Linked DNA regions of Neodiprion lecontei. The protein of the gene in region 1 interacts with the protein of each later gene in a pairwise test. Links are inferred from orthologs where the notes say so. Each region holds a gene or a part of one and is shown in the gene's direction. Other genes may lie near its edges.

The links. The genes of interacting proteins can lie anywhere in the genome.
Region 2: the proteins of leucine-zipper-like transcriptional regulator 1 (region 1) and gamma-tubulin complex component 4 interact in binary tests that used the Homo sapiens proteins (3 or more experiments, as listed by UniProt). The link is inferred for Neodiprion lecontei from reciprocal best matches to the Homo sapiens genes LZTR1 and TUBGCP4.

Annotation. Positions count from the first base shown.
Region 1 is NC_060262.1:24,978,894-24,986,672, reverse strand, and holds the start of leucine-zipper-like transcriptional regulator 1, read left to right. Parts: upstream 1-1,752; 5' UTR 1,753-2,020; intron 2,021-2,090; 5' UTR 2,091-2,139; coding exon 2,140-2,246; intron 2,247-2,702; coding exon 2,703-3,011; intron 3,012-3,332; coding exon 3,333-3,447; intron 3,448-3,545; coding exon 3,546-3,712; intron 3,713-3,869; coding exon 3,870-4,855; intron 4,856-5,027; coding exon 5,028-5,230; intron 5,231-5,298; coding exon 5,299-5,583; intron 5,584-5,989; coding exon 5,990-6,124; 3' UTR 6,125-6,172; intron 6,173-6,274; 3' UTR 6,275-7,779. UniProt on the Homo sapiens protein: Substrate-specific adapter of a BCR (BTB-CUL3-RBX1) E3 ubiquitin-protein ligase complex that mediates ubiquitination of Ras (K-Ras/KRAS, N-Ras/NRAS and H-Ras/HRAS).
Region 2 is NC_060260.1:32,567,860-32,574,347, reverse strand, and holds gamma-tubulin complex component 4, read left to right. Parts: upstream 1-1,599; 5' UTR 1,600-2,305; coding exon 2,306-2,374; intron 2,375-2,449; coding exon 2,450-2,591; intron 2,592-2,804; coding exon 2,805-2,998; intron 2,999-3,159; coding exon 3,160-3,254; intron 3,255-3,333; coding exon 3,334-3,650; intron 3,651-3,830; coding exon 3,831-4,304; intron 4,305-4,390; coding exon 4,391-4,568; intron 4,569-4,732; coding exon 4,733-4,955; intron 4,956-5,111; coding exon 5,112-5,360; 3' UTR 5,361-5,955; downstream 5,956-6,488. Other genes in the region: E3 SUMO-protein ligase PIAS2, read right to left, coding at 402-680; osteoclast-stimulating factor 1, read right to left, coding at 6,281-6,488. UniProt on the Homo sapiens protein: Component of the gamma-tubulin ring complex (gTuRC) which mediates microtubule nucleation.

The DNA of each region.
Region 1 (7,779 bases):
CTTTGATAAAAAATTTCAAGGCGCTTAGCGTCCAACGACAACTGGTTTTGATTAATTAAAAAATGAGCACAGTGCGGGAATAAAATCCAATTCCGATCGTAGTGTGATGAACTAAAGTTATTTAAACATATTTATTATTCAGTTACGATTATCCTAAGTGGCTTGGGCTATTACAGACTTGGGCTATGTTGAAATTCTTATTACAAATTGAAATATATACAGTTATAAAGTTATGGCGAGAACTGCACAAGCCTAGAAGTTCGGATGGGAGGTAAAAGATAGTAAACGTTAATGTAAATCATCGTAGTGTTTAAAAAAGTTTGAAGAATTTGGATAAATAGTTACAACTATCTTATCACAGATTTGATGAATAACTAACTATTATTTAAGCGATCCCGTTGAAGATTAAAAATCAAACGTTTGTTATTTAAATTCTAACTCAATAGCTACATAACTGCCTGTTGTATTTAAATTGTACAAACTAATGAATAGCCGTGCTTCGTTTATCCTTATTTATCTTTGATCAAGTAAAATATCTCACTCTCAAATGGGTGGACTAAAATATAGTAATGACTTAGATGTTATACAAATACGTCGGCTCTGCCTGCCTTATTAATATTTTAGTAACATATATTGTCTAGTATTCACATAAAGTTAACGTTAGTAGATAATTTATGTTAATAATTAGCCTGTATAGTATTCAGTTGACTATATACTTGTGTATATTCATTTATAATGTAGTCACTTACTTCCGGAATATTTCTGGTAAATAGTGTAATACTATCAATGTGAATATTAATGACATTGTCAATAATCATCCCTGAAAAATTTTATTTTAATTCTTTTTAAGCATGTTTCTACTTTTTCTGAGGTGATCAAACTAGCAAATGGTCCTAGATTGATTTAAATTTGGCTTCATAACAATGTAAAATATACTTTTTTCTACCCAACAGACAACTTGTACATTTGATATAGTTTTGATACAAAATTGAATTGTTATACGTATTTAGTTGTGCCAATGATCAGTATAATTTCACAAAGAAATTTACTATTTTTGGTGTTACCGAGCCTATTAAGAGAATGTTATAATTTTGTTGGTATCTCGTAATATTTTAAGAGTTTCAATGACCCTGATAAAAACAAGTAATTACTTCTGACAGTTGGATTTTGTTCCGCAGTTTGAACTTTCCCTGCCAGCTTTTTTCTCTTAATTCATCAATTCAACATGTCTACAACTAAAATCTCTGATCATTTAATTACCTCTACGACTGAATTGAAACAAAATATCATAGATAACTTTTTAGTGAATGCATATATAGGTATACATATTTTTTATTATACGCTTTATGTTATTACAAAGATGTCATGAATAAAAATATAATTGTGCACATGAACATAATATTGAGATGATGTTTTTATTGAAAGATTCTAGGTGTGTAACAATTAGAGCTGGTCTAATTGCGCGATTTTCTTATCATGATATAAAAGTACTTGAAACGTTGAATTTCAATGAAACATTGCCAAATAATTTTCAATTCAAATTCTTCCAATATTCACAAGAGTAATGATAAAAAATTAAGGGATACCGAATTGACTAAACTTAGATAGGTCTGAGGCTATTTCGATTTTGATTTGTCAAATATAACTACAATAATCTCATCACTGACAGTTAAGATAATATATAGGATATTATCTTACTGACAGTGTGCACTGAAAGAAATCGTGATAGCAGAAAATAACGCCTGCCAATGGGAGAGGATAGAAATATTATGAATGAAACCCACGCACTTCTGTCTATCACACGCAAGCTCGAAACGAATGAAATATCGATTTGATAAACAAGAACCCCGAATGGCCAGAATTTCGCGGTTGAAAAAATACGAATTTCTGATTGGCTACAGAGGGTCATCCACCTGATTTTGACACTCGACATACAAATGTGACAAACGCATAATAATGATGTAGAGTAACGTTTCGCAAAATCACAATATAACGCTGCTTTCATCTGATACAAAGATAAGTGAGTACTTATTTTGTTATGCAACTATTGAACGGACAATTAACGTAATTGGAAATGCAAATAATTTGAGGTTGTGAAGCTCCTTTAGAATCGGGTGAAATTTTACCGACATAACCGAAATGGACAACACAGCGACAGCCGAGTGTCTCACCCTGGATTTTGGGCCGTTCGAAACGGTTCACCGTTGGCAACAAATGCCAGAATGTGATGAATTTGTTGGAGCCAGGTGCGATAAATTTTCGTCAATCCATTTCATGCATTATAGGTTATGTCAGTTTATGTCAAGTTATAACATCGCTCTTCACCGTTTGCTTTCCTATTTTAATCCAGCAATTGAACCGCTTACTGATGCATTAGAGATAATGTTTCAATTCACACATGCTATACTTCATGACTTTGATGGAGCAGATACACCTACAAAAAATTTGTTTCAATATATTAAGATTCTGAATAAAGTTAAATGAGATCCTCTGTAGAAGAGTATCAGTCAATCATTTGTGCAGCTTCTTATATTGATGTCAACTGTCCAAGTATTGTGCTAAAAGTTTGCCAGAAACAGGTGTTTCGTTACTTTATGAAAGTCATTTACAAAATTTGGATATCTTCATCAGATAACATAATAAAATATCCCCTTATAATGGTAAATAAGTCAACATCCATCTCTATTATTTTTTCTACACAGACGAAGTAAGCACACGGTAGTAGCATATAAAGATGCTATTTACGTATTTGGAGGAGATAACGGAAAGAAAATGTTGAATGATTTGCTACGGTTTGACGTTAAAGAAAAATCTTGGGGTAGGGCGTTCTCCACTGGGATTCCGCCAGCACCAAGATATCACCACTCAGCCGTAGTTTATGACGTTTCTATGTTCGTTTTTGGTGGATACACTGGAGACATTCATTCAAATTCTAATTTAACCAACAAGAATGATTTATTTGAGTATAAATTCAAGACTGGTCAATGGATTGAGTGGCGGTTTATTGGAAAGTAAGTTGATTGTGACCTTTATCAACATTCCTACAACGATGATAAAAATATGGAGCTTTCCATAATAATTATGGTACCTGCTCCTCTCATTATTTGAATCTATTGAAATCATAAACAAATTGCAGAGTATTCGAAGAGCAGAAAGTTTATGTCCAAGCATCTAGTTGTGATATGAAGTAATTGGCCAGAGCAAGACTGTTCATGTCTAATAAATATATATATGTGAATATATATATGTCTGCACCTGGCATTGGAATATTATTGCTAAACTACGAACTATGTATAATACTTATTTTCATAGTATCTCTTTCAAATCTGTAGAACACCTGTACCCAGATCAGCCCATGGTGCTGCAGTGTATGATAATAAGCTTTGGATATTCGCTGGGTACGATGGGAATGCTAGATTAAATGATATGTGGACCATATCGCTGCTTGTAAGTCAATTACATTCACACTAAATTATAATTAATAGATAGTAAATTTTTTTATGTAAAAGTAAGAGTTGATTAAATAAAAGCATTGTGGTTTATAGCCAGGAGATATGAGAGTTTGGGAAGAAGTTGCGCAATCTGGAGATTGTCCACCAACGTGTTGCAATTTCCCTGTAGCTGTTGCTCGTGAATCTATGTTCGTTTTCAGTGGTCAGAGTGGAGCCAAAATTACAAACAGCTTGTTTCAGTTCCACTTCAAAGACAAAAGGTCGGTGAAATTGGCATACCAACATCAATAAAGTTTTTTAGTCAAACAAATATCCAAATTCATTATGCAAAAATGCAGACTTTCATTACAAGACTTTTGTAATTAAGAAGCACTCGGATTTTTTGACATAATGCGTGACATGAATTATGTTCAATAGGTGGACTCGAATATCCACAGAGCATATATTGAGAGGTGCTCCACCTCCTCCAGCTCGCCGTTATGGTCACACAATGGTCAGTTTTGACAGGCATCTCTATGTCTTTGGTGGAACGGCAGATTCAACCCTACCCAATGATTTGCATTGTTACGACCTGGATACACAGACATGGAGTGTAATTTTATCATCGGCAGACAGCCAAGTACCATCTGGACGATTATTTCATGCTGCAGCAGTAATTGGGGAAGCTATGTTTATATTTGGAGGCACTGTAGATAACAATGTGAGATCTGGTGAGATGTACAGGTTTCAATTTTCTTCTTATCCTAAATGTACTCTGCACGATGATTTTGGAAGATTGCTCAGCAGTCAACAGTTCTGCGACGTCCAATTTATTGTTGGAGAAAGCGAAGAGAAAATACCAGCACATATTGCTATGGTAGCCGCACGATCTCAGTGGTTAAGAGCTAGAATTAAACAAGCCCAAGATCAGAGAGAAAAGCATCTTGAAAAAATTTTAGGCATTACCGATCTACCGCTCAAAGATTTACCGTTGCTAGAAGTCAAATTGAAGGATGCTGTGCCGGAAGCCTTTGAAATGGTGTTGAACTACATATACACTGATCGAATAGATCCTACCAAAAAAATAGAAGATCCGTTGAGCAACAGAATCGTACTTCTAATGATGGACGTTTATCGACTAGCTGTTCAATTTCACATGAAAAGATTGGAACAACTTTGTGTTCAATATCTTGAAGCTACTATCAGTCATGCAAACGTTCTTGAAGCACTTCATAATGCAGCACTTTTAAAGTTGTATTTTATTAAAGAATTCTGCTTGAGTTTTGTTGTCAAGGACAGTAACTACAATCAAATAGTGATGAGCCAGGAATTTGAAACATTGGATCAACCCTTAATGGTAGAAATCATAAGAAGAAGGCAAATGCCGCAAGCTAAAAACTTTCTAAAGTCATACGAATCGACAGGTACTTTATTTAATATTGCCAAATTTTGGTGTTTAAAGGAATCTTTTAGTGAATACTTTGGAATAAAGACAATAACAATAACAAAGTGTGTCTTATTTAGAGCATAGATTCATTACTTATTGCTTGACGCTTTTACATTTTGTATGGTGATAATTTTATTTTTCTTGAATAGAATTTGCACACATTCATGTGTTGGGAACAACTCTAGAGCAGGATATGGAGGTCTTTTTAAAGAGTGCGAGCACCGAATTTTGTGATATTATGCTGATGTTGCATGGGACACCCATACCAGCACACAAGGCTATCCTTGCCGCTAGATGCAGTTATTTCGAAGGCATGTTCCGATCTTTTATGCCTGAAGACAACATAGTGAACGTAAGTATATTACTAGGCCCTCTTATTATTGATTGTAGTACTTTACTTGTAACAAATACCATTTTCAGATCCAAATCGGAGAGATGATTCCTTCAAAAGAATCATTCGATTCCCTGCTCAGGTATATTTATTACGCAGATGTCTTAATGCCTCCTGAGGACTCTCTGTACCTATTCACTGCACCAGTATTTTACGGCTTTACAAATAATCGCCTGCAAGCCTTTTGCAAGCAAAATCTTGAAATGAATGTTACGTTTGAAAACGTTATACAAATTCTTGAAGCTGCAGATAGAATGCAGGCTATTGACATGAAAAAATATGCTCTCAATCTGATCGTCCATCATTTTAGTAAGGTATAGAACAACATTTCTTGAAAGAAAAGTTTAATGCATAATATGTGGAGCATACTTATGTAAATTGAGTCACCTTGATTCCTGAATGTCAAACTTTGTTGTGATACTTAACTTTTTTACACTCTGTGGAAAAAAATCCATACATACGTGCACTCGTGCTTCACCTAAATCAATGAGACCTTATTATAAATAAATTGCTTTTTTTTATGTAGGTGCAATACTGTTGAACAATTGAGTTGAGGAAAAATGTTGATTGGGATCGTTTTCCAAGTACTCGTTAAAATTTAGAAAAATAATCCATCAGTTCTAATCCAATTTTTGACCACAAAATATTTACCATTTTTGGTTTCCATTGACTGTGGAAGCGATATTTGAGCATCACATAAATGGTGTACCTAATTTGTAGGTGGCACGATTGCCAAAATTGAAGCAGTTGAGTCGAGAACTTTTACTGGATATTATAGAGGCATTGGCGGATGAAAAGAGTGAGGCTCGAATGTGTCAGGACATGTCCAGTGCTAGTCTTTCCAGTGACTGCTGACAGACTTCCAGTCAGGTATGGAGAGCTCCCATGCCCTCCAGTTTTCAGGTTTGTATTTACAAGAGAATAAATGAGTTATTAAGTTAAATGGGTAAATATTATATATAAATAAAATGGAAAACAAATGGTGAAAAATGTTTTAATTTTTAGGAGTTATTTCGAGTGAATTTCATCTTGATAACACGCATGATACTGTTCATTGGGAACTACTACTTTGATTTAAAGATGTGTCCGCAATATAGACAAGGCTACAGGCGATGTAACCATAAGAAGAAGCGACATCATCGATTTAAAATTCACTGACAGTTGGCATGACTTTTATTACGACTGCTAGCGTGTCTCAAGAAAAAAGATGACACCAGCAGCTTCAACTATTGAATTTTTTTCACATGAATGGATTATTACGTGATAAGTTTTTGAAATCTCGTCACCAATTTAGTCATACTCAATTTATAGTATAGTAATAGCAGACAGCTAATTGTTAGTAATATACTTGTTGCCCTTGACAATGACCAGTAAAAGCATGTCTCAACGTTCTTGTATTGGCTTCAACAAATCAATAATCTGCTCAAATAACATGATAAGCATAAGTGTGATATTGGTCAGTTTGCAGCGTTCGCAGGATGAGTTCATTTACGAAAATTAAAAAATAAATTACCACAGTAAATTACGTTATTATTTATTGCAGTTAGTAGTGATTTCGAATAGTTTTTTACTTTTTCCAAATAAATCTAGTCACACTTAACCCGGTGGAAGAATTAGAATTAATGATGAAATGACACAAATCGTACAATACTTATGGTCATTTCTACGATAAAAAAAATATGAAGCACGTATCGTACTATGTTACAAGCTTTTGTATAATAAAGAGCTGTAATACGATTTGCTGGTAAATTCTAGTAAAAACAGAAATTAGTTTTACGAAATCTTAAGATATTAAGCACGCGAATTAGCACGAGTTATTGAAACATCTGCGCAAGAATTCAACATTCCACAACCGTAATAATAGAATATTTTGTTTATTAATTGTGAATTTAAGAAGATTCGGGTCCTATCACTATCAAAAGTAACTACCGTTTCAGGTTATCCTAATTTCTAAATTTCACGGTTATCCTCTCTCAAGTTACATGATATCGTAGTTATTAATTAGGTAGTTAATTACCTATATTTAGAAAATAATTTTGAATAACAGATGTAGTCCTTTAATGTTTTATCTTTACTATTCAGAAATTCTAATGTATTGTTACATTCATCAAGACATATTGAGCGAAAAAGCATTGTCTCCGTATAAATGATAGCATTGACAGGTTTTTTTAAGCATCACTGAAATCGTATACATAAGTTTGTATTCATTAAGCAAACCATAATTAGCGAAAATTGTATGGTTAAAAGTTTTTTCATTCACTTGAAGTGTTTGCGAACGTGTGTTATGTAAGAATTTGATACAGCTAATCTGCACCTTGATCTAACGTTGGTGTAATTAAATTTATTTGTATATATATTTTTAATCAATTTATGTATCATTGATTGTTTTCTATTTACGAGCATTCTTAGTAATGTATGATCATACTCAAATGACAGTGTTGAGTGTGGAAAGTTCAACTTATTCAATATTCAATATTGATATTGAATAGGTTTGATGCATTTGGGATGTC
Region 2 (6,488 bases), on another chromosome or scaffold:
CTGAAATAGACAATTGACATTTTTATAGCCATAATAGCCCAAGATAATTATAGACAAACTGAGACTTCACAGAATGAGAAAATGTCTTTAATGATAACAACATTAGGCAATAACGACAAATTCTTCCTGCTAGAAAATCGTACCGTTTCTGTCTAGCTATATTCTCAAATGTTATTACACTCTATAGTACTAGTCGGAAAAATATATAATCAAATATGACAATTTTTCCCAACCTGCCATATACGAAGTGCACAAAAGTAAACTCTTGTGCCCAAAGTAGATAGATGGGGAGGCAATTCCAAAAAATTTTGTAGAGTAAAATATGTTGATTATTTGAATAGCGTGATGCATAAGCTAGAGATAGAGGTTACCCATTGTAGTTATCAGTTGCTCCTACTTGCCGTCTCGTATCCGCATTCCTGTGTTATGCTTGAGATACACGAGAAGTTTCCGAATTGAATGAAGATACGTTTACGAAAATATGGAAGTTGGAAATTGGACGAATGTGAAGAAAAGCGAAAAGCCGCGTGTGAAAATAAATGTCGCTTAGTATGATCAAACGCAGCCTTGCTTGCGTTGGCAAGACATTGGAAGAGTTTGGATATGTGAATGTTCGATAATTGGTGAAAAATAAGACACGGAAAAATCAATGACTCAAGTTTCTGGAAGGCATTTAACATGTGGCTCGTTTAAGTCAAGATAATAAGATCTATTTTATTCTCGTCCTACCTTCAGTTCTTCCGTATCCGCCATCTTCCTCGACGATTTTTTTTGCGAAGCCGTCTTGTCTGCTGTGCTTCCCACCACTTGAAGAAAATTCCCGTTCGTTTCCCGCGTTGTACGCCGAAATTTTTATTTTCGCTGTAATATGCTGAGCACTTTTATGTCCAGCGTCACAGAAGACTGATCACTCCTTATCTTAATTGTTATTGTATTTTGGAAAAGCTTTTAGTGGCCTTTGACGATCACAATACGTCTGGGTTCATGGAATTATTCAAGTTTCCTTCAAGTTAAGACTTGGAAGTGAAATTTAAACAATTATTTGAAATTGTTCGGAATAGACTGCGTACTGGCTGCGTTTACTCCGAAAATTTATCTTTTTCCAAGGCTATGCTCCAAAATTAGTTGACAGTACTGTCAGCAATCTTTTATCTTTGTTGTATTTCAAGTTTGACCACCAGTTCTGTTTCTAGTTAATGAATTATCAACGGTCGCAGCTCATTTCGGAACACACCCTTCTATATGGGTAGCCATAGACCGCTAGCCAATGTCCACGTGCGCCATCTGTGTAATTTTCATGCAACAGGGCTATGAGAACGACTGTAAAACATTATAGAAAAGATTTTTCTCTGATATAAAGATGTATATTATATTATATATGCACACAAAAAAATCAATTTGATAACTGTAGAATATCTGTCAACGGTAGAGGATTATTCTTATTGTAGGGCAATAATTCACGCGCATTCTGAACGTTGCTATAACTAGTTAGAACGGAACAATCATGTAAGAGTCAAGAACATTAAAATCTTACCTACGACATGCCTACGACTAAACCGGAAGTTTTACAAACTTGAAGATTCCTGGTATTTCGGAACATTCAATTTCGTTCCTTCAATTTTTGACTAAAGATATTCGAAACTGCTAGCCTTATGGACTGCTGAAGGGCGAGGGGGAACGTTACAATATTCTGCTACGCCGACTTGATCTTGCATTAGGATCCCGCGGATTGGGATGAGACGAGTCAGTTGTTAAGTGCAGGGTAGTGGAATTACACCCAAACCTGCCCAGTAGAGCTGGCAAATTACTATCAAAAATAACGCAGGGCTAGCTGGCAGTCTCCAACAGTGTCCATCGTTTCACAAATTGTTACCGAGAAGTTGTTATAATGTTTACAAATATTGTTTTTGCATTGGCAGATTAATTGGAATTGTCTATGGCATAGCAATTTTCGAATTGCGGTTTGCATTGCAGACTGTAGCAAACAAGTGTGCTTTGATTTCCACAGATACACCAAAGGTTAATGAGAAATTTGAGAGAAAATCAAAAAATTCAATAAATATCTACCTCCCGCTGATTTTAACTAATTTCTCGAGAAGTTTCTTCCCTTAAATGCCGATACACGCATGCAAACACGGTCGTGCAATTGACGATGCACTTGAACTCGGAAGTGGATGCGTTTACACCAATGATTCAGACGTGTTCTCAAATCAAATTTAATCAGACTTCAATGCTCGAACAGCTCCAAACAACCTGGACTGGGTAGACGGATCTTATTGTTAAATGTGTTTTTGAAGCGAAAGAAATGCTGCACGAAGTTTTATTGTCTCTTTGGGGTTGCACGACTAATGTCGTACAAATTATAGACACTGATGTAAGAACTGCATCGTTTATGGAGTTGACAGTTGTCAAGATATAACCTCCAAAATCTGACAAACTATGTTTACAGTTTTTAGAAACCGAAAAGCTTCTACACCCTGGAGAGCAAGCTTTGATTAAAAAAATTCTAGGCATTGCGGAGGAATGTAATGCAGTGAGAAATTTTATAAATGCCCATACGTCTGTTATTGGTGCTCCGAATGACGCAACTGGTACAATATATTACCAAATAACATTCACATTAAAAGTAAACTAGCAAGATTTGTTCATGCAAAATATCTGAATTACACACTATCAACATTTCTTCAAGAATTTTCACTAACCCACAATTGACAAATTTAAAACATCTTCGACTATATCAAGGTTAATGCTTTATAACTGTCTGATTGCAATACGATTGACATGATGCTATTTTGCTTACACAGGAAATTTGAAATGGGGCCTTTATCTGCAGGCCTTATGTGACGGTATGGAACAAGCAATACAGCCGTTTCGCGAAGATGTTATCGAATTGGAAAAAATCGTGCTGAATGACGCGTACACGCCATTGACCTTCATACTATCACGAATACAAAAATATCTCTGTTTATTCTCAGTTCTGAATTCCATAATAAGTGAGGTACACATATCTCTGAATTGTTGACTCATATTTGCGTTTTGTTTTAGTTAAAACAAAAATTGGTCGGAATTATATACTTTAAAATCACTTGTTATCAATCAGGAATATAGATGAAAGGTCAAAGTAAAGAAACATTATGTGTGATACATGTACTGTTTTAGATTCGAACCCAAAAAGTTCATGGCTGTAAAGTATTACAATACTTGCATCAACACATGCACACTGGGGTACCTGAAGTGCGGCAGGCTTTAGAAAAGTATGTGAGCTCAAAGATTCTTCTATTTTTATAAAATTAAAAATGACTCATATTATCGATCAATTTGATATACTTTCAGGATGATGTATTGCTGTCATGTCGTGTTTTATAAACAACTATCCAGTTGGCTCTTATACGGAATTCTGGAAGATGTTCATAACGAATTTTTTATTCAAAGAGCATCTAAACCACAGGATAGTTTGGTTCTAGCTAAGAGTAAAGACAGTTCTGGTATAGCAGATGAAAAATCATCAAAAAATTTATGTGCAGACATGTGGGATTACGAAATAAAAATCCATGTACTGCCATCTTATATAAGGCCATCATTAGCGCTTAAAATATTGACCATTGGTCAAACTATTATCATGTTTGGAAATGATCCCAGACAAAAGAAAGGTATACTTTTAGTGTTATTGTGCTTGAATCACTAAACCTATCATCCACTGCAACAGATGTGTATTAAACTGATTTGTTTTTACATACAATTCTATTAAAAATATTTGGAGTTTTCTAAATTTTCGAAATAGATGAAATAGAGAAATTTTTTCTAAAACGAATTAACACTTTAATTTCCAGATCTGAGTATATTCACAAAGGCTGAAAACTCAATATGGGGTGCAAAAGAGTACGAGCATTTTCACGAGTTACAAAATTTGAAAAATAAAAGAACTTTTGATATAATTGAATTTGAAAGAACTGTTGATGAACTCAAACAGTGTGTCACTGAACACTTATGGAGAGTTGCGGTTGAAGAAGCACAGCTTATGCATCAAATTAAACTGATAAAAGACTTTTTTTTACTCGGTCGTGGTGAATTGTTCCTTGAATTTATTAGATTAGCAGGTCACATATTAAATAAAAAACCGACTAGTCATACCACCAGGGATATAAATTTATCATTCCAAATAGCTGCACGGAAAATGCTCCTACATGATGAGAGCACAACGGAAAGTTTTGACTTTCTTGTTCCTGTCCCAGAGATTGAAAATGAAGTTGGTGAAGATCCAGAAGATGGTGAATTTTCAAGAAGAGAACGCGAAGACCCCATTGGTAAATAAACCATTCCCATTAATATTGCTGAATCATGACTAATGTCAACATTTTGCATGAATTGACCATGAAATTTTTAATTGCAGACACAAGAGGATGGGGACTGATTCAGCTTCAGTACAAAGTAGTCTGGCCATTACATTTGTTGTTCAGTCCAATGGCGTTGTGCGATTACAATACATTATTTCGATTTTTGTTGAGAGTAAAAAAAACACAAATTAATTTACAAAATCTATGGTCCGAACATATGCGAACAAAAAATGTGTAAGTTCATTTATTTATTGTTAGTAGTGAGAATGAATTGACCGACCACACCAGTATTTACTTCATGTCGCGAAAAAATTAAACACATATTGGCATTACTTCAAAAGTAGGAATTTCGAATCTCTTGTAAATACGTAACTAACTTTTAATGTATTTCCAAACAGTGATATTGGAGTGATGCAGTTGAGAAACAACTTGATGTTTGTTATCAACAACTTACAGTATTATTTACAAGTAGATGTACTAGAAAGTCAGTACACAATTATGGAAAATACTATGAAAAATACGCGCAACTTTGAGGAGATTCAAAAAGGACATTCTGTATTTCTAGCCAACATTATGTCACAAACTTTTCTGTTCCAAGGTTCCAGTGATAAAGTCAACCCAGTAAGTTTCTTTCCAAATTATTCACTTCTTTTCGAGTTACATATTTTAAATATCACAGTACATTTCGATGTAGCACATATGTTTGCAACTAATCAGCATCAGTTAAACTAGGATCAGATATATTTATACTCTTGTACAAACAACTAAATTTTTTAGGTCAACAAGTTGATAAAAATATTGTTACGGCTGTGCGACGATTTCATACTGCAAGCACCCATGTGGGAATTGGGTAATTTACTAGTAACTGAAAAAGAAGAACTCAAAGCATTAGCCGACACTTTAAATAGTCTTATGGATTGGCTAACAAAAACTTTGAACAAAGTACGGGCGCAACCAGCAGGGACACATTTGGCACAGCTATTACTGCGACTTGATTTCAATAGATGGTTCAGTGGAAAATCTTGAATAGTTTCAGCAAACTTGTTCATATTGAACAAAAATGATGACCAAAATTTTTTTATATAATGCACAAGGCAAGTTGGTTAATTGTTTTGAGTTACCACGATTTGCTCTGCACAGGTATTTACTAATAGCAAAGCATGCATAGTAATAATTTCGAGTACGTCGAGTTACTCAAGTGTGAAATTACTGAACTCAGCTGCAAGTTGTATTGTAAATTATTTTGCATGGTACAGAAACATGAAGTGAATCTTATTTTGTTTTGTAAGCAAATGGCATGACATTAATTAGAGTAAGTACGATTACGGTATTGTTAGTGGGTAAGCAATGCTTGATTCTCTAACATATTGTTGAATATATCTTGAATAATACTCAGTCTTTTCCTAATCACTTATTTACTTCATTGTTAGTTATGAGAATGAATTTACCTATTATATCAGTATTTATTAAACTCTCCAAAATTAAATACATATCGGCAATACTTTCACAGCTTACGGATGAAATTCGAAAACAGATGTATTATATCTAAACTATAAATTAATAAAAACGTTATTTCTTGATAAAATTTTCAACGTAATGACTCATTTCTAATTTTAACATTGTAAAATTTCAAAATACACTATACTAAAGAATTCATTAATACCCTGGTAGAAGTACTCTGTTGAGATCCTCGATGTAAAATACGTACTTGAAGCTACAATAATAATAGTATTTTCGAGCTCACATTCGGAATGGTATGTGTGTTATTATGCAGGCTGAACTTTTCACAGTTAAACTTACATTGTATCACTTTTGTCTTACAATGAACACAGAATTCCTTTTTTTTTTCCTGTAATATGTTCAATGAAGAGACAGCTCATAAGAGAATTAACGTACATCAGGAAAGGTTACTTATTAGCACTCCTTTATGAGTGCTCCTTTCTTCATTAATCACTCTCATCTTCATAGTCATTATCATCGTAACAATGATTAGCAGAATATTCCCTGTAACTCATTTGTATAGTATTTATAACTGCTGCGTTGCTAGCCAGTTCTTCTGGTATTAAATTATCACTGTTCTTAAGACTAGCATCAGCTCCAGCTTCCAGCAACATCTCTACAACTTCTAAATGTCCATGGTTTGCTGCTGCATGT